Linked DNA regions of Saccharomyces cerevisiae S288C. The gene in region 1 interacts genetically with each later gene. Each region holds a gene or a part of one and is shown on either strand. Other genes may lie near its edges.

Region 1 (6,986 bases):
TCTTTTTCAACGTCAGGCTGAAATTGACAACTTGAGTAACGTAAATCAATATGGCACTTCTCCAATTTATATCGCATGAGAAAAATAGCATTGGTCAATCATACAGAACGTAACATCAAAAAACAACCGTTTACATATATATAATCACTTGTCTAAAATTGATTGAAATTGCATATGAGAAAATATATGATAATGACAATAATTTTCTTTGAGCACAATTAGTTTATTTGGCAACTTGCTCTTTATTATTAGTAAATATAGCACATATTCATATAAAACACATCTTCAGTGGGATTACCTAGTTGATGGTGCCAGGAATTTTCCTATCGTCAACGAGCTGAAAATTTTATTATTTTTATTAATAACATAATGTGAGACTCCTGGTTTGACATTTAATTTTACGTATTAGTCGAATTTTGTTCTTGCCTACAATAAAAAGACAATTAAGCCGCAGGCAGTCTCATTCTTTATTACAAAAACAAAACGATAGAATTTAGAGCACAAGTAAGAGATGGTAACAAAGTCACGGCTCCCGGATGTAGTATGTCGTCAAATAATAAGTTCGTGAAATTAATAATTAGGTTATAAATCGTAAAAAATTGAAAATATTAATTATGACGAAGTAGGCACAGATTTCTTGCTGCCAGTGTTGCTGTTGCTGTTAACACCAGATTCATCTGAGACAGTGCCATCATTCTGGTGGAACTCCGCATGTAAAAGTTTACCTACCCTATTCTCAATATAACCGTTGTCTGGGTAGTTGACTGGGGATTCGCATCCAGTAAAAATGAAAATGTCATATATGAGTGCTCCAGCAATACCGCCGGCAATTGGACCACCCCAGGCTCCCCATGTCCACCACCAATGTGTGAGATGAAAAGCATGTGGACCATAGCCAATCATGGAAGCAAATATGCGAGGACCGAGATCTCTTGCAGGATTGATTGTGAAACTTGTTTGATATCCAAGGGCCATACCAATTGCAGCGACTAAGAATCCAATAATTAATGCGGTCATACCATTGCCAGGTGGAGCATTACTATCATCCAATAGCGCCATCAAACAACCCACAAGTATAGAGGCTCCTATGAATTCGTCAAAGAAGGCATTTCTCCACGTGACGTAAGACTTTGGATCAGTAAACAAACACGCACCGGTCGCCGTTGTTCTTATGTGCGGACCTCCCTCAAATTCTGTGATAGAGCTCCAAAAATAACCATAAGCCATAGCTCCTCCAAAATATGCACCGATAATCTGAGCAACAATATATACGGGCACCTTTTTCCAGGGGAATTTTCGAAAAATTGCCATTGAAATCGTAACAGCAGGGTTAATATGACCACCACTAATACCGCCTGCGACGTAAACACCAAGCATACAACCGAACCCCCATGCAAATGATAGGGATTCATAGGAACCACCACTACCTTTTGTTACAGTTGCTTGAAGATTACCACCAACACCAAAAATGACAAGAACTAGTGTCCCGAGAAACTCCGCAAACGGTTCTCGCATATGATAGCGAATTTTTGCCCAAAAGTTAGGAAATGTCATTATATCCGCGTCTTCATCTTCTGAGGCACCAATTTCATTACCATCTAATGCACTCGTACTTTTATTTTCCTCTTCAATAAGTTCTTCAGGAAGCTTCGTATAAACCGGAGTAGAACCATCGAGGGTTTGCATGTTCTTTAATTTTCTGGATTCTGCATCGGCTATGGAGGATGCGTAGCTTTCATCGCCTAATGAAAAATTGACATTATGCGAAGTACGCTTTTTCTTACGTGAAACATTCTCAATATGCGTGTTAGAGGGCTTTTGTGGGTTTTCAGGCTCTAACTTAGTAGGTTTCACATCTGCACCAACAGTATTATCGCGTTGCGTTTGAGCTTCGATGTCACCAAGCTTTTTACCCGGTGCTGCACCTCTAAGGAGCCTTTTCCAGTCTTTCACTGACGTAGTAGAACCCCCCCTTGAAATATCGGTCGACCCTCGTCTCGATGATGCGCGGGACCTTGCATCCATATTCTTTTGTATCATCTTTGCTGCCAAGCCTCGATCCAATACATGCGGTAACGGCTGATTTAAACTCCAAACAGGCCTGTTCCTGCTACTACCCATAGTTGGATTTAATTGCCGATATAGTGGGTCTACATAATTATTACTGTTGCCTTGATTTACCCCCCTGGATAGATAATCTTGCATTATACGTGCTTGCTCAGCATCTGAAAAACTGTTTAAAGTCTTCAAATTAGGCAAAGAATAAGTAAAACCCATGGAAGGGACCTGTGGTTGTACCGAATCCTTCCTCTCGTCAACCACTTTTTTCAAGGGTGTCAAAGCAGAAAGTTTATTTCTCGATGATCCTCCAGTTTCAATTGCTTTTCGAGTCTCACCTAGCTTTCGCCTCAAGAGAGTGCTGTCATTTTCGTTATTTTCCCTAGATTTTTTGACACTTTCTTCCCAAGCTATTTTACCATTAGGTTCTTCTTTTAGCGTTGGTGGCCGTGTACTCTCGGAAGAGGAGGATGACCTCCCAGATTCGTAACTCATTACTTGGGTCTAGATCATATATCAGAGGAGCGTTATACTGTGCGATTATACGCTTCTTTTTATATGAATAAGGGGGAGACATGGTGAAAAGGTACCAGAACTTTTGATCGACCAAGACTAGGTAAAGCTCAAACAACGTTTATAACTCAAATTTCCGGGGTAAGTGGGGTACCGGAAAATTATGATATTCCGGAGCGGAGTTATCAACGGAGAAAACTAGGCCTTCTGATGGAACTTAATTTAAAAAATTAATCACAACCTATGCATATTATTCCCGCAGAGGGTGATTGTGAGTAAATCCCTGCACAGAAACAATTCCCGCCAGGCCATAACTAGATTCTAAATTATTTAACTCATAATTTCATGAAATCGTATCGTAGTACCAAATAGGGAGATATTGAGCCAAGTAAATTCTTACGTCACCATAGTTGGATAATTAAGTACTTGATATTGTATAAGGATCTCAACAATACGAGAAGGGGAAAATACCGCAATGTGTGATTGAATTTTCAAACTTTGGATCATTAAATATATATAAATGAACCCAGATCAGCCCTTTTTTTTTCTAGTATTGTCTGTAAAGTGTATTTTACCTCAAAATCTGACAAAACCCAACTACAATTGACTAAATAATCATGTCTCACAAACAATTCAAATCAGATGGAAACATCGTTACTCCCTACCTACTTGGCCTTGCTCGAAGCAATCCCGGCCTTACAGTGATTAAGCACGACAGAGTGGTTTTCCGGACTGCGTCAGCTCCTAATTCAGGGAACCCTCCTAAAGTTTCATTGGTTTCTGGAGGTGGCAGTGGTCATGAGCCAACGCATGCCGGTTTTGTTGGTGAAGGTGCCTTAGATGCGATTGCAGCAGGTGCCATTTTTGCTTCTCCTTCAACTAAACAGATCTATTCTGCTATTAAAGCTGTTGAATCTCCTAAGGGTACCTTGATCATTGTAAAAAATTACACCGGTGATATTATACATTTTGGTCTCGCTGCTGAAAGAGCTAAAGCTGCTGGAATGAAAGTCGAACTGGTTGCTGTAGGAGATGATGTCTCTGTCGGTAAGAAGAAAGGTTCTTTAGTCGGGCGTCGAGGTCTCGGAGCCACCGTATTGGTGCATAAAATTGCTGGGGCAGCCGCTTCTCATGGACTGGAGTTGGCAGAAGTTGCCGAAGTTGCTCAGTCAGTAGTTGACAATAGTGTCACAATTGCGGCATCTCTTGATCACTGCACGGTTCCTGGCCACAAACCTGAAGCCATTTTGGGCGAGAATGAGTATGAAATCGGTATGGGTATTCATAACGAGTCTGGTACCTATAAGTCTTCTCCGCTGCCATCGATTTCTGAGCTCGTTTCCCAGATGCTTCCTCTTCTTCTCGATGAGGATGAAGACCGTTCTTATGTGAAGTTTGAGCCCAAAGAGGACGTAGTTCTTATGGTTAACAACATGGGTGGTATGTCTAATCTAGAATTGGGTTATGCTGCAGAGGTCATTTCTGAACAATTGATTGATAAGTATCAAATTGTGCCCAAGAGAACGATTACTGGAGCATTCATTACTGCATTGAATGGTCCTGGGTTTGGTATCACTCTTATGAACGCTTCAAAAGCTGGTGGCGATATCCTTAAGTATTTCGATTATCCTACCACAGCGAGTGGATGGAATCAAATGTACCATTCTGCCAAAGATTGGGAGGTACTTGCCAAAGGGCAGGTTCCCACCGCCCCCTCTTTAAAGACATTGAGGAATGAAAAAGGTTCGGGTGTGAAAGCTGATTATGACACTTTTGCTAAAATTTTGCTTGCTGGGATTGCAAAAATTAACGAGGTTGAACCAAAGGTTACTTGGTACGATACCATTGCAGGAGATGGTGATTGCGGAACTACTCTTGTGTCCGGTGGTGAAGCATTGGAAGAAGCTATTAAAAACCATACGTTGCGCCTCGAGGATGCTGCTCTTGGTATCGAAGATATTGCGTATATGGTTGAGGATTCTATGGGTGGTACGTCCGGTGGTCTGTACTCTATCTATCTTTCTGCTCTCGCACAAGGAGTTAGGGATTCTGGGGACAAGGAACTTACTGCGGAAACTTTCAAAAAGGCATCAAACGTTGCACTAGATGCTTTGTATAAGTATACGAGAGCCCGTCCTGGTTACAGGACTCTGATCGATGCTCTGCAACCTTTTGTCGAAGCGCTGAAAGCCGGGAAGGGTCCCAGAGCCGCCGCCCAAGCTGCTTATGATGGTGCCGAAAAGACAAGGAAGATGGATGCCCTTGTTGGGCGTGCTTCTTACGTGGCTAAGGAGGAGCTGAGAAAACTCGACAGCGAAGGTGGATTACCAGATCCAGGAGCAGTTGGTCTTGCTGCACTACTCGATGGATTTGTTACAGCTGCTGGGTACTAGAATTGCTCGTACACACTAGAAGCCAAACATAACAGCTTTAAAGGCTTTCATTTTTGAACTTTTTAAAAAATTGAATACTCCAACTGAAGGTGAACTAGTTGTGTCTCTGAATATATTTTTATAGATATACGAATTGATGAAGTACCGCAAATTAAGCTAAAAAGTAATGCTTCTTGCAGCTTTTAATTGTTCTTTCTGCAATCTACAATTACTTTTCTTGATTCCTTCTCCGTTCCCCTGTGTTGTCTGGAAGTATAATTTGTCCAGGAAGATTTTTTGAATAGCCATTGTTTTCTTTAAATTAAATCGGAGTGTTTAAATCCATTCCAATCTCTTTTTTCTCGCAAGTCAACAAACAGGTGTTAACTTTCTTTTCCCCGCTGTTTTCTTACCTATGAATAGTCTCAATTCCTTTTTAGAAGATCTGCACATTCTCTGATACTATGAACAAGTTCTAGGATAGCAATCTAAGTTTTATGATTCTCTTATTTCGGATTCGATTTCAATAAAGATCGTAGTATTAGAAGTATAGAATGTATTGTAATTTTTTTTCCTAATCTTATTAATTCATGGAAGGCATTGAACTCAACAGCATATTTTAAATGTTTGTATCTTGTTTTCTCTTTCAAAAAAAAAATGGTGTCATTCATTATTTTATGGTCAACCCTATACATCAATTTTTCTCTGAAAATATTGACAAATAAAGTAGTTGATTCTTGTTCTACCAATTAGTGATATTATGCATGACTGTTAACAACTTTTTGACTAATCTCTGAAATCATATGAAGATCTTGCTGCATTTCATGCATCTAAGAAATCAACCTATATCAACAGATTTCAATAATTACTCTAAACTTATGCTGTAACTTAGAAAGTAACCAGCCTGTGTTGACTGATTGAGTTGCGTATTAACTGCGCCTAGTCATTTCAACACTTATAATTTGCTTCAGCTTAAGTGTGGTTCATCTTTTTTTTTCTGGAAACTTTGCATGCCCTCAAAGCATGAGTAGTTAGTTATCTTTTTGACAATGATCTCTTTTGAAAATATCTACTGTAGATTTGCATGGACGCACGTCGCCCATACGCCAAACTTTGGCAATGATACTCGTTATTCGTAATATCAGTCCGTCAAGGTGCTGTGATTTCTCTATTTTATATTGCCTATTATTTTTTCAAATGATTTGAGCCGTTTTAAATTGAGTATGCAATGAGTCTTTTGAATCAACCGTAAGGCAGTTCCATAACCACTGCCACGAATACGTTTCACTACCTTGAAGAATCTCTAATGTAGGCCGTATTCTTCGCACTTAGTTCTGACGATGTAGACATCTCATTATATAAGAGCATAAGCGCCTGTTTCTAGAATCATTTCTTCGTGACCCAGCTTTTTGAGTTATTTCGCGGTATTTTGAAACATTTCTCGAGCTTGACGTGAACATCCTTATATTTCATGACAAACTCGATCATTGGAACATCCCTGCCTCGATTTTAGAGCTAGTATCAAATTTCAATCTCTTTGTGATGGAGCCCCGCTCCTATTTCAAAAGAGAAGTTTCTTGTATGCATATGTTATTGAAGTCTGATTATAGCAAGTGCAATGTCGTCTCAATTATTTTAACTATTTTTAGCCATACATGTTAGTTATCCTCAAAGAGAGCCTCCAGACTGGGAAGCAGTGTTTGTCATTTCAAATAAGTAGATTTCACAGTTTGTATGATTTTCGAAGCCAGGATTCATTGGGCTTTGAGTAAAGAGAAGCCGCGTATTACGAACAGCTTACGATATTGTAAAATATTCCCTTATTGTGGTGCCCCAATGGATACATGCCAGAGAAATGTCTGTGAAATTGAACAATTACAATGACGAGAGCAAGTAATCCGGCGGCCTTGTCTCTCTTTCACTAGTACCGTCTATATCTCTTGAGCGCCAATATGCGAAAGCTTTCACAAGGTTGATGTTCATGGTATTCGGCGTCGATAGCGAATTGCTTACTAAGAAACATTAGGGTGCAGTACAGCCTTG
Region 2 (5,674 bases), on another chromosome or scaffold:
AGATGATACAGAATGGGCACCGGGATATCAAAAAGAAGTAATAGATCAAAAATTAAACGACATTTTTGATTATATTTTACAGCTAGTAAAAGTGGTCAAAATATCCGTCAAAATTACTTTAGAAATAATTGTAGGCAAAATTAAAAAAAGTCTGGTAGATGTCATTAATGTCCATACTCCAGATTTCTTAGTTCTTGCTACTTTAAAGCACGAGCGAAATGAGAATCTTATTACATATAAATCCAAAAAGCTGACAGATGTCTTTCCTGTTAGTTATCCGATTCCCACATTTGTTGTTCCCTCGAAACGAATGTATTCGTTCGAACTGAATCTACAAAGAGAAGTAAATGAACATTATGTCTCAAAAAATCATATGAAGCACGAACACACTGACGTTGAGAGCATGAGCAGTTCAATGTTCAAAAAAAATACAATATCAGATATTTCTTCACATATTTCCGTAGATTCGTACGCCGAAGATTTCAAAAGGCAAGGCTACATCAAAAAGCAGTTCAACACCTCTAATGATTCCATTCCAAGAAAATTGACCGGTCTCGCCCAGCATTCAAGAAGGAAGATCACGGGTGATATAGAAAAATTACAAGACGATGAGAAAGATAGAGAATGTACTAAGGAAAAACTTTTGTTGAAGAAAATTGATATCATAATTAGAGAGTCATTGAAGTCTTCTTTAGCGATAGAGACGTTGCCTGGTAAAAATGTATCGCAGTCCAGTCACGGTGACCAAATTTCCAGCTTTAAGAATGCTTTGATAGGCAATGGGTCGAAAAACACAAAGTTTAGAAAATCTTTAATACCATATTCTTCCTCAGAGGAACAAAATACCACAACAACTATTAAACTCAGTAGCTCGCCTACGTCCCAAATCAAGTTTGCAACCTCTGTAAAACACAAAGATGGAAGAGCCGCCCTTGGCAAAGCCAGAAATCTGCCTGATATAAGGCACAGTATTTCCTTCGACAAAGAAAATTCCTTTGATCCATCTGATAAAAGCAGTAGTGTTGATAATAGCATTCCTTTGAGGAAAGTTAAAAGTGCCGGTGCGTTAAGAAAAGTCAAAACTAATGACTCCTCAAGTAGTGCAGGGTCAAAGAAAAGCTCGTCTAGTTTTAGTACTGTGAACACCTTCACTGGGGGTGGAGTTGGGATTTTTAAGGTGTTTAAAAGTGGAAGTTCCTCTGGAAATAAATCATCCAGTAGAAGGAATAGTAGCAGTGGCGATGTTTTTGAAAGTGATGATCGTAACGACAAGAAAAAGAAGAAGAAAAAAAAGAAGAAATCATTGTTCTTATTCGGCAAAATATGAGCGGATAGTTTGTACACATAGTGTCCCTAAAATTCCTATTGATGAATAGATCAATTTTATTAGCAGACAATTGGGGGCAGCAACTGAATAGCAGAAGAAATTTGAGTTCAATTATTTTTTTTTCCTGTCATACATAATGGCCTATTTACAGGTACATACATATAGAGTATGTATATAAAATCTCTGTTGAAGAAGACATCATTCTTAGTCCTTGGCAATCTTAGCCAGGATTTCAGCGTCCCTGAAAAGAATAACTTCATCGTCGTTACCCAATTTAATGGTAGAACCACCAAACTGTGGAATCAAAACTTGGTCACCAACTTTAACTTGAGGAACAACCTTATTACCATTAGCATCAGTAAAGCCCGGGCCTACGGCAACAACTTCAGCTTGGTTTAACTTCTCCACGTTCTTTTCAGGTAAATACAACCCGGATGCTGTCTTTGCTTGTGCCTTGATTCTTTGGACAAGGACACGGTCCATCAATGGAACGATAGATTTAGCAGACTTCAAAAGGGTGGACATTCTTTTTTTTCTGTAGATTCAATATATTTTCGATCAATGGCTTCTATCAGAAATTATTTTAAACCTAGCACATAATAAGTTTGTACTGTATAAGCGTTTTGACTAATTTTATACATAATCAAGCTTCTTTTTCCCATTCCTTCAAGATTCTAGAAATTTCTATCATTGATGACGGGCATTACCCCGTTAATGACCTTCACACGAATGAGAATTGGGCGGCTAATGAGAGAACTTCGAGAGGTGCAATAAGTGAGAAATAACAACTTTAGAACTCATTATGATTGCTTCCAATACCTAATCCTACGTATGTACTAAATTAAAAAGACAGACATGCATTATTGAATATTGACATTTTGAGAGTAACTTTTTATTATGAGTGGCATAATAAGATAATCGACGCAAGCCACAATTTATACAATAAAAAATGCTACCATCGCTGCTACATATGAACGAAAATAATACAACTATCGTTACGGCCTTTGCTGAACCGTAATAAAATAAAATTCCTTGTTACATTTTTTTAGCCAGCTGCCTCAGAAAGAGGCGTTTACTATTTAATGGAGAAAGAAAGCAAAGAAAAATAAAAGGTATTTTCTTTACGGAAAGCCTTCGAGCAATCCAGGAGAAAGTGGACCTTTTTTTCCCAATGAAGAGATCATAGGAGTATGGATTGAAAATATAATAGAACTTCGGGTAACGAGGTGTAATTTCACAGTCCATAATACAGAGCTAACGGTTTAAGGGTAAATAGTTATCTAAGTCAAGTTTTGAAGGAACAAGTAAGAAAGGTCGCTACTGTTTCTAAACATAAGATATACAAAAATAAATATAGCTATCTCAATGGGTGCTGCATACAAAGTATTTGGGAAGACGGTTCAACCTCACGTATTGGCTATATCTACGTTTATCGCTACTGCTGCAGTGGCATCTTACTTTACCACGAAACCAAAAACCAAAAATGAAGGCAAGAATAGTTCTGCCTTGAGCCAACAAAAAAGCGGTGAAAGTTCAAACTCAGATGCTATGGGAAAGGACGATGATGTCGTAAAGAGTATTGAAGGATTTTTAAATGATTTAGAGAAAGATACGAGGCAGGATACGAAAGCCAACTGATTATGTATAAAAATTTCTGAAATGGTGGTGTTCTTCATCGTTCAGTGAAGGGATGCACTGATTTCTATAAACTTGAAGCACTTTTTGAAACTACTGTTCTATAACGAAAATTAGCGTCCTTCTTTCTATTAAGTATGCATTATACATATAATTCAATATATTCTGAATAGCAAAACGGCAATGAAAAAAAAAAAACACTGAAAATACTTGCCTTAGGCCATTGTGCATGATACGAATATGCACAAAACTTGCCTCTTTTTACTTTACGGATCAATGACAACACTCAGGTGTAAGTGATAGTTGATGGCCTTTCAATATTTGAAAGGCTGGAAGATAATTATAAAAAATCGAACTAATTGCCTATGATTGTTTCATTACTGAGACTATTTTTTCACCTCAAGGGGGTCGTCTGAATTAGCAAAGCCATGGCAACTAGTGCAGTGCTTGAAGTCACCAGCTCGTTTGGTTTTAGATGCAAGTAATGTAAAGAAATTAATTTAAATAAAATAATAAAAGTTTCTACTTTTTTTTTCAATTAAAAAGCATAATACAACCAATCAATTTTATCCTATTTGGCCTGACAATGATGATATCATAAAAGTAAACGGTTCCTTGTTTTTATTTTTCTTGCATGCACTTTTCAGAAGTCTTGGTAGCGCTACTAACGCAAAATACGAAATATTCATTGGCTAATAAACTTGATTTTTTCATTGAATGTCGTTTTTGAACTATATACAATATAATTAATGCTACGACCCTAAACTTTTCAACTAACTCTTTGACAAGGAAGCATCATCACTTATTACAACCATAGAATGTTACTTAAAGGACTGTTCTCATCTACATCAACAGATCGTCCAAACTTTGAGCAGAATCCTTCTTGATCAAATCCAACATCCCTTCAGGCAAAATAGGTTTACCTTCTTTATCTAAAACGTATCTAAATGGCATTTCCGTGGCCTCATTTTTATTGAACCTAAATTCAGGGTAGTCAATGAACTTGATGTCTTCAAATGCAATCCTGTCTTTGATAATCAACTGTGTTGTTCTTATGGCAGTATCCGTAGTCATTTGTTTATCACCTAGTCTTCTGCTAATTAAAAGATTCGGATAGGCAGTCTTTAGTTCTTTGGTACGATCTCTTGGAGGATGATCACCCAATATGCCACCAAATACGAAATAGTCGAATTTCGTAGCATCCTCCGGCTGTAAATCGATTGTAGCCCTAGGGTCCAATAGACAGACTCTGCCATCTTTTAACAGTTCCAAATCCTTGAAATCTTCGTTAATGCCCTTCAAATCCTTTGTAGTCCATCTTAAACCAAGTTTTAGTAGCCTTTGAGGGATGTCCTTTTCCGTGGTACTCTCTGGTAACGATGATAAAATCAAGTTTTCAGCTCCTACTTCTCTCAGGATTTGGCTATACTCTAAAATGACCCATTCACTAAACCCTTCCTCCATATGCTCAATAATGTACTTCATCGTATATCTAGAAATAATCTCCACAGCTGTATCAATCTATATTAACAATAGATATGCCCCTCAACATCTAATAAGCAAAGGGCATTGCTCTTTTACAATACTCGATGAGCTTACCGAAAATTTCTAATCCAAAATAACGGAAAAAATTGAAAAGGTGTCAATCCTGTTACCCGCAAGTTGAAGTACGGAAAGAATACAACCTTACACAGTGGAACTATAATAGACAGTAAAGAAAAAAGTTAAAAAAAACTTGTGCCTTGCGTTTACTGATCAACCAGTCTTTCTTTTTACATATATTTCTGATGCATTTTCATGTTTACTTAAAATTTCTTTTAGGATAAACGCTGCAATATCCGGTTCTTCGAAATAAGAAACATGTGATTTTATAGCTGATATAAAATCCACTTCTAGCAGACTTGGAGACATAGCATAATCTAGACGTCCGGTGTAATTCAAACCTGTAAGCATTCTCGTAAGATTTTCTGATAACTTGACCTCTTTTTTTTCTGGAGAAGTTTTTTTGGACTGCAAATTATTTTCATCAGTACCTGGCAAATCTTTCCATATGTTTTCGCCAAATTCCAAAACTTTAGAAGTTAGTCCATAAGCTTCACTACAATGTGGTAAATAAGTTTGTTCGTAATGAGCCATTTCTTTACTAACAAGAGGTTCCATCCTATAAGAAATGGGATCACAGACGTGGTAAACATTATAAATGTCCTTACATTGCGGTCTCTGTACGGTTAATTTTCTCTCCAAGTCATTGGGAAATTCGGGACGGTCACCAATTTTTGTTCTTTGAATTAACTTTAACAATCCAATTGGTGAGCCAATAAAGAACAGGTTGTCTACTTGAAATTCTAATTCATATTTTTTTTGTTTGGATAGAATATCAAATAATATCATACTACCCAACGAATGGCCCACTAAATGGACTTTCCCATCAAACTCTGGATTAAATTCTTTAAAAATCCGATATGTTTTGTTCAATTGAGAGGTTACTTGTTGTAGAATCATATCTTGGTAGTATGGTTCGACATACAACAAAATATCTAGTAGACCGTCAGCCAGTAGCTTCCTCAAGGGTAACACTCCATTTACTGTGACTTGTGACAAAGTCGGTAGGTCAGGATTTTCTATATTTTCCTCCTTAGCATCCGTTTGGAAACTTATCGAGTGCCTCCAGGTGATGGGTAGCACTTGAACGTTACAGTTGCTTTTATAATC
Region 3 (5,418 bases), on another chromosome or scaffold:
TTTAAACTATTAACTAACAAATGGATTCATTAGATCTATTACATTATGGGTGGTATGTTGGAATAGAAATCAACTATCATCTACTAACTAGTATTTACATTACTAGTATATTATCATATACGGTGTTAGAAGATGACGCAAATGATGAGAAATAGTCATCTAAATTAGTGGAAGCTGAAACGCAAGGATTGATAATGTAATAGGATCAATGAATATAAACATATAAAACGGAATGAGGAATAATCGTAATATTAGTATGTAGAAATATAGATTCCATTTTGAGGATTCCTATATCCTCGAGGAGAACTTCTAGTATATTCTGTATACCTAATATTATAGCCTTTATCAACAATGGAATCCCAACAATTATCTCAACATTCACCCATTTCTCACAAAGGATAAATCTCTTGGTTTGCGGGCCGCATACAAGATATGATTGTAGTTTTTTCAATGGCTCTACTGTCCCACTGCTGTACAACAGAAAATGAGAGATCAGAGAAATAGTATTCCGGAAGCCAGTGGTGTTTACTTATTAGTTTTTTGACGCCACTGCGCGAGTTGCTGCCTAGCTGTTCCTTGGCCAACGCATATTGGAACTTCATTCGACTGATATGCTTACTCAGAGGTCCATTACTTCAAGAATTGTCTCACCTATCGGGCTTGGCGTTTGTACAAGAAGAAACTTTCATCACCTTTGTTTCGCCACCAAATGAAAAAAAAAACTTGCATGGCTTAGGTGGTTCTTTGTCAGAAATATCTTCTAAGGATCAAGAGTCTTACGTGATTCTAATCCCTTGGCAAGTCAGATCTCAAATATGCTCACTCGCAGATGAGTAGCAATGAATGCGACCAAGTGACTAGTGACTGGTGACGACATGAGCCAAGCTGGAACCAGCAGCTTTCACGTCGGCTTATAGCTCTCTATGGGGCAATCAACCACTCATAGTGACTGAAGATCTTTTTAATATAATTACATTGCTAAAAACGTCATACCGCCTTGTGAGCACGATAAACAGCATATGCATTGAGCCTTGTTATTCTTCGGAACTGGGGATAGTAAAATGCGACCCGCTTAGGATGATCAAGCTATCTTTGGGACGGAGTTTTGTCATGGGAGTGGTCATCCTACTGGTGATGCTTCAACATTTGATTTACTAAATTTTGAAATCGGCCGCAGAATAAAACTATTATGTCCAAACAATTGATGGTCGAACCAACGTTAAGGGTTTCAAGTATTGAATTGAACTTTTATGAGTTCTATAATTTCGTTGCGCAAATTCAACTAAACCACCAATATCCCCCCTACAACGCTACACTTTATACCGATAGAGGAATAACGCATAGAGCCTTCGTAGAATTCTTCAACTCGTACGTGATGGGGATTCTAAACCTATCGTCATGTCGCTGTACAAGGCTGCTGCCTGCTTTCAAATTCCCAATTTTACCATGTCCGTTTCGCTGAGCCGAATCGTCACACAAGGTAATTAGTTCTGGGTATCGCTTCAGTATAGCACTGGTTTTTTCCTTGTAAAACCACAGTCTAACAATTAAATGAAGCTTTTCGAAGAAATTAGACCATGTTAGACTGAAAGCAAAGACTCCGGCCCGTTCTGAGGTAAGTTCAATGAAATTGGACAGTTTCTTTTCAAGGTTAGGTTTTGTGTTCGAAAAAAATAGATTACCGCACCTCCTTTCCAAACCCCATGAGTTTCCATTAAGGAAGAGCAACGTCAATAATACCACCTTTTGCAGATGTGATTCAACTCAAGATGCTGTAATCTTTCCCTTCTGACCCTAGATCACCTCATGATATCCTTTTGAGGCAATTAAAGCTGCAGTGTAAACTGTTGAATATCTTTTTGAAACCAAAAAAAAGGACGTTCCACACTTGGCTGCTTTCTTGATAAGCGAGATCTTTACTTGGAGATCTCGCTTAGTCCTCCGAAGGTAAACCCCGTCTCTTATCTTTAAAAAAATGTATCAGACCCTTCAGCACGTGACAGACAGCAAACTACCAGTCGACGAGGATGCTTTTCCGAAAGTCATGACACAAGGGAAGGACTGTAAGATCGATATCGGCGCAGTCTTATCGGATGTTCCAAGTCCTTGTCTCTTTCATTATCTGCTTGCTATCGCAAAAAAAAAAAAATCAATTTGTTTAATATCAACACATAATGTACAAGAACAAATCATGACATACAAAAGCCATATAAGATGAGTCTTCAAGCAGCACCAAGAGGCCTGAGGCAGAGCAAATGTTGGCTCGCTATTCTTTTGTAAGCAATCTGGTACTCACCAACCTCCAACTATGAGATCTTTAAATACCCTTTTACTTTCTCTCTTTGTCGCAATGTCCAGTGGTGCTCCACTACTAAAAATTCGTGAAGAGAAGAATTCTTCTTTGCCATCAATCAAAATTTTTGGTACCGGCGGTACTATCGCTTCCAAGGGTTCGACAAGTGCAACAACGGCGGGTTATAGCGTGGGATTAACCGTAAATGATTTAATAGAAGCCGTCCCATCTTTAGCTGAGAAGGCAAATCTGGACTATCTTCAAGTGTCTAACGTTGGTTCAAATTCTTTAAACTATACGCATCTGATCCCATTGTATCACGGTATCTCCGAGGCACTAGCCTCTGATGACTACGCTGGTGCGGTTGTCACTCATGGGACCGACACTATGGAGGAGACAGCTTTCTTCTTAGATTTGACCATAAATTCAGAGAAGCCAGTATGTATCGCAGGCGCTATGCGTCCAGCCACTGCCACGTCTGCTGATGGCCCAATGAATTTATATCAAGCAGTGTCTATTGCTGCTTCTGAGAAATCACTGGGTCGTGGCACGATGATCACTCTAAACGATCGTATTGCCTCTGGGTTTTGGACAACGAAAATGAATGCCAACTCTTTAGATACATTCAGAGCGGATGAACAGGGATATTTAGGTTACTTTTCAAATGATGACGTGGAGTTTTACTACCCACCAGTCAAGCCAAATGGATGGCAATTTTTTGACATTTCCAACCTCACAGACCCTTCGGAAATTCCAGAAGTCATTATTCTGTACTCCTATCAAGGCTTGAATCCTGAGCTAATAGTAAAGGCCGTCAAGGACCTGGGCGCAAAAGGTATCGTGTTGGCGGGTTCTGGAGCTGGTTCCTGGACTGCTACGGGTAGTATTGTAAACGAACAACTTTATGAAGAGTATGGTATACCAATTGTTCACAGCAGAAGAACAGCAGATGGTACAGTTCCTCCAGATGATGCCCCAGAGTACGCCATTGGATCTGGCTACCTAAACCCTCAAAAATCGCGTATTTTGCTACAATTATGTTTGTACTCCGGCTACGGCATGGATCAGATTAGGTCTGTTTTTTCTGGCGTCTACGGTGGTTAAAGCCTGATCAGTGACTTTTCATCACACTGTGTTTTTATATAGTTCTTAGTAGTAAATATACTCTATAATTTCTACATCCTTTTCATGATGTGCCAGTTAAGCTATTTTTAGCAAACAAAAAGATGAATTTGAGTATTGAGCACATCATTCACTGTTCAGCTGATACAAAACATATGATTTCTAATATTCACATAGGAAAAATCGCTCCAAACATCGAAGTATCATCGCTACTTTGGTCTTTTATCTGCTTCTCTTCTCTTCGCTCTTTTCACTGCTCGTGCCGCTGCAACGCTCCAACTCAGTTCTATCTCAGCTCCTTCCCCTTATCCCTTGAGCAGTGTCAAGGCGAGGCTGCGTGATGTATTCGTGCGCGAAAAAAAAAACAACTGCAGCACCTGAGTTTCGCGTATGGTCACCCACTACACTACTCGGTCAGGCTCTTACCAGCTTAACTACAGTTGATCGGACGGGAAACGGTGCTTTCTGGTAGATATGGCCGCAACCGAAATAGTTAGGTGTGGCAGCCGTACATATGGAAGCCGGGCGATGGCTCCGCCACGTGCAAAGTGCAGGAGCTTTGGAAAGAGCGTGCATATAGTGATGAAAACAGAGAGCACGGTTGCGAACGGAGGGTCTCACAATGTCTCAAAGGATAAATCTCTTGGTTTGCGGGCCGCATACAAGATATGATTGTAGTTTTTTCAATGGCTCTACTGTCCCACTGCTGTACAACAGAAAATGAGAGATCAGAGAAATAGTATTCCGGAAGCCAGTGGTGTTTACTTATTAGTTTTTTGACGCCACTGCGCGAGTTGCTGCCTAGCTGTTCCTTGGCCAACGCATATTGGAACTTCATTCGACTGATATGCTTACTCAGAGGTCCATTACTTCAAGAATTGTCTCACCTATCGGGATTGGCGTTTGTACAAGAAGAAACTTTCATCACCTTTGTTTCGCCACCAAATGAAAAAAAAAACTTGCATGGCTTAGGTGGTTCTTTGTCAGAAATATCTTCTAAGGATCAAGAGTCTTACGTGATTCTAATCCCTTGGCAAGTCAGATCTCAAATATGCTCACTCGCAGATGAGTAGCAATGAATGCGACCAAGTGACTAGTGACTGGTGACGACATGAGCCAAGCTGGAACCAGCAGCTTTCACGTCGGCTTATAGCTCTCTATGGGGCAATCAACCACTCATAGTGACTGAAGATCTTTTTAATATAATTACATTGCTAAAAACGTCATACCGCCTTGTGAGCACGATAAACAGCATATGCATTGAGCCTTGTTATTCTTCGGAACTGGGGATAGTAAAATGCGACCCGCTTAGGATGATCAAGCTATCTTTGGGACGGAGTTTTGTCATGGGAGTGGTCATCCTACTGGTGATGCTTCAACATTTGATTTACTAAATTTTGAAATCGGCCGCAGAATAAAACTATTATGTCCAAACAATTGATGGTCGAACCAACGTTAAGGGTTTCAAGTATTGAATTGAACTTTTATGAGTTCTATAATTTCGTTGCGCAAATTCAACTAAACCACCAATATCCCCCCTACAACGCTACACTTTATACCGATAGAGGAATAACGCATAGAGCCTTCGTAGAATTCTTCAACTCGTACGTGATGGGGATTCTAAACCTATCGTCATGTCGCTGTACAAGGCTGCTGCCTGCTTTCAAATTCCCAATTTTACCATGTCCGTTTCGCTGAGCCGAATCGTCACACAAGGTAATTAGTTCTGGGTATCGCTTCAGTATAGCACTGGTTTTTTCCTTGTAAAACCACAGTCTAACAATTAAATGAAGCTTTTCGAAGAAATTAGACCATGTTAGACTGAAAGCAAAGACTCCGGCCCGTTCTGAGGTAAGTTCAATGAAATTGGACAGTTTCTTTTCAAGGTTAGGTTTTGTGTTCGAAAAAAATAGATTACCGCACCTCCTTTCCAAACCCCATGAGTTTCCATTAAGGAAGAGCAACGTCAATAATACCACCTTTTGCAGATGTGATTCAACTCA

The links. Genes that interact genetically often act in the same process or in processes that back each other up.
Region 2: mutations in DAK2 (region 1) and HSP10 together harm fitness more than expected from each alone (negative genetic interaction), as found in Saccharomyces cerevisiae (one large-scale study listed by BioGRID).
Region 3: mutations in DAK2 (region 1) and YLR156C-A together harm fitness more than expected from each alone (negative genetic interaction), as found in Saccharomyces cerevisiae (one large-scale study listed by BioGRID).

Annotation. Positions count from the first base shown.
Region 1 is NC_001138.5:20,235-27,220, forward strand, and holds DAK2 (dihydroxyacetone kinase), read left to right. Parts: upstream 1-3,188; coding exon 3,189-4,964; downstream 4,965-6,986. Other genes in the region: AQY3 (Aqy3p), read right to left, coding at 613-2,553. UniProt on the Saccharomyces cerevisiae protein: Catalyzes both the phosphorylation of dihydroxyacetone and of glyceraldehyde.
Region 2 is NC_001147.6:368,993-374,666, forward strand, and holds HSP10 (Hsp10p), read right to left. Parts: upstream 1,853-5,674; coding exon 1,532-1,852; downstream 1-1,531. Other genes in the region: YOR019W (uncharacterized protein), read left to right, coding at 1-1,327; MCO10 (Mco10p), read left to right, coding at 2,693-2,965; protein-arginine N-methyltransferase SFM1, read right to left, coding at 3,806-4,447; DDL1 (putative carboxylic ester hydrolase), read right to left, coding at 4,718-5,674. UniProt on the Saccharomyces cerevisiae protein: Eukaryotic CPN10 homolog which is essential for mitochondrial protein biogenesis, together with CPN60. Binds to CPN60 in the presence of Mg-ATP and suppresses the ATPase activity of the latter.
Region 3 is NC_001144.5:470,948-476,365, reverse strand, and holds YLR156C-A (uncharacterized protein), read left to right. Parts: upstream 1-3,755; coding exon 3,756-3,887; downstream 3,888-5,418. Other genes in the region: YLR157W-D (uncharacterized protein), read right to left, coding at 390-602; asparaginase ASP3-2, read left to right, coding at 2,309-3,397; YLR156W (uncharacterized protein), read right to left, coding at 3,909-4,253.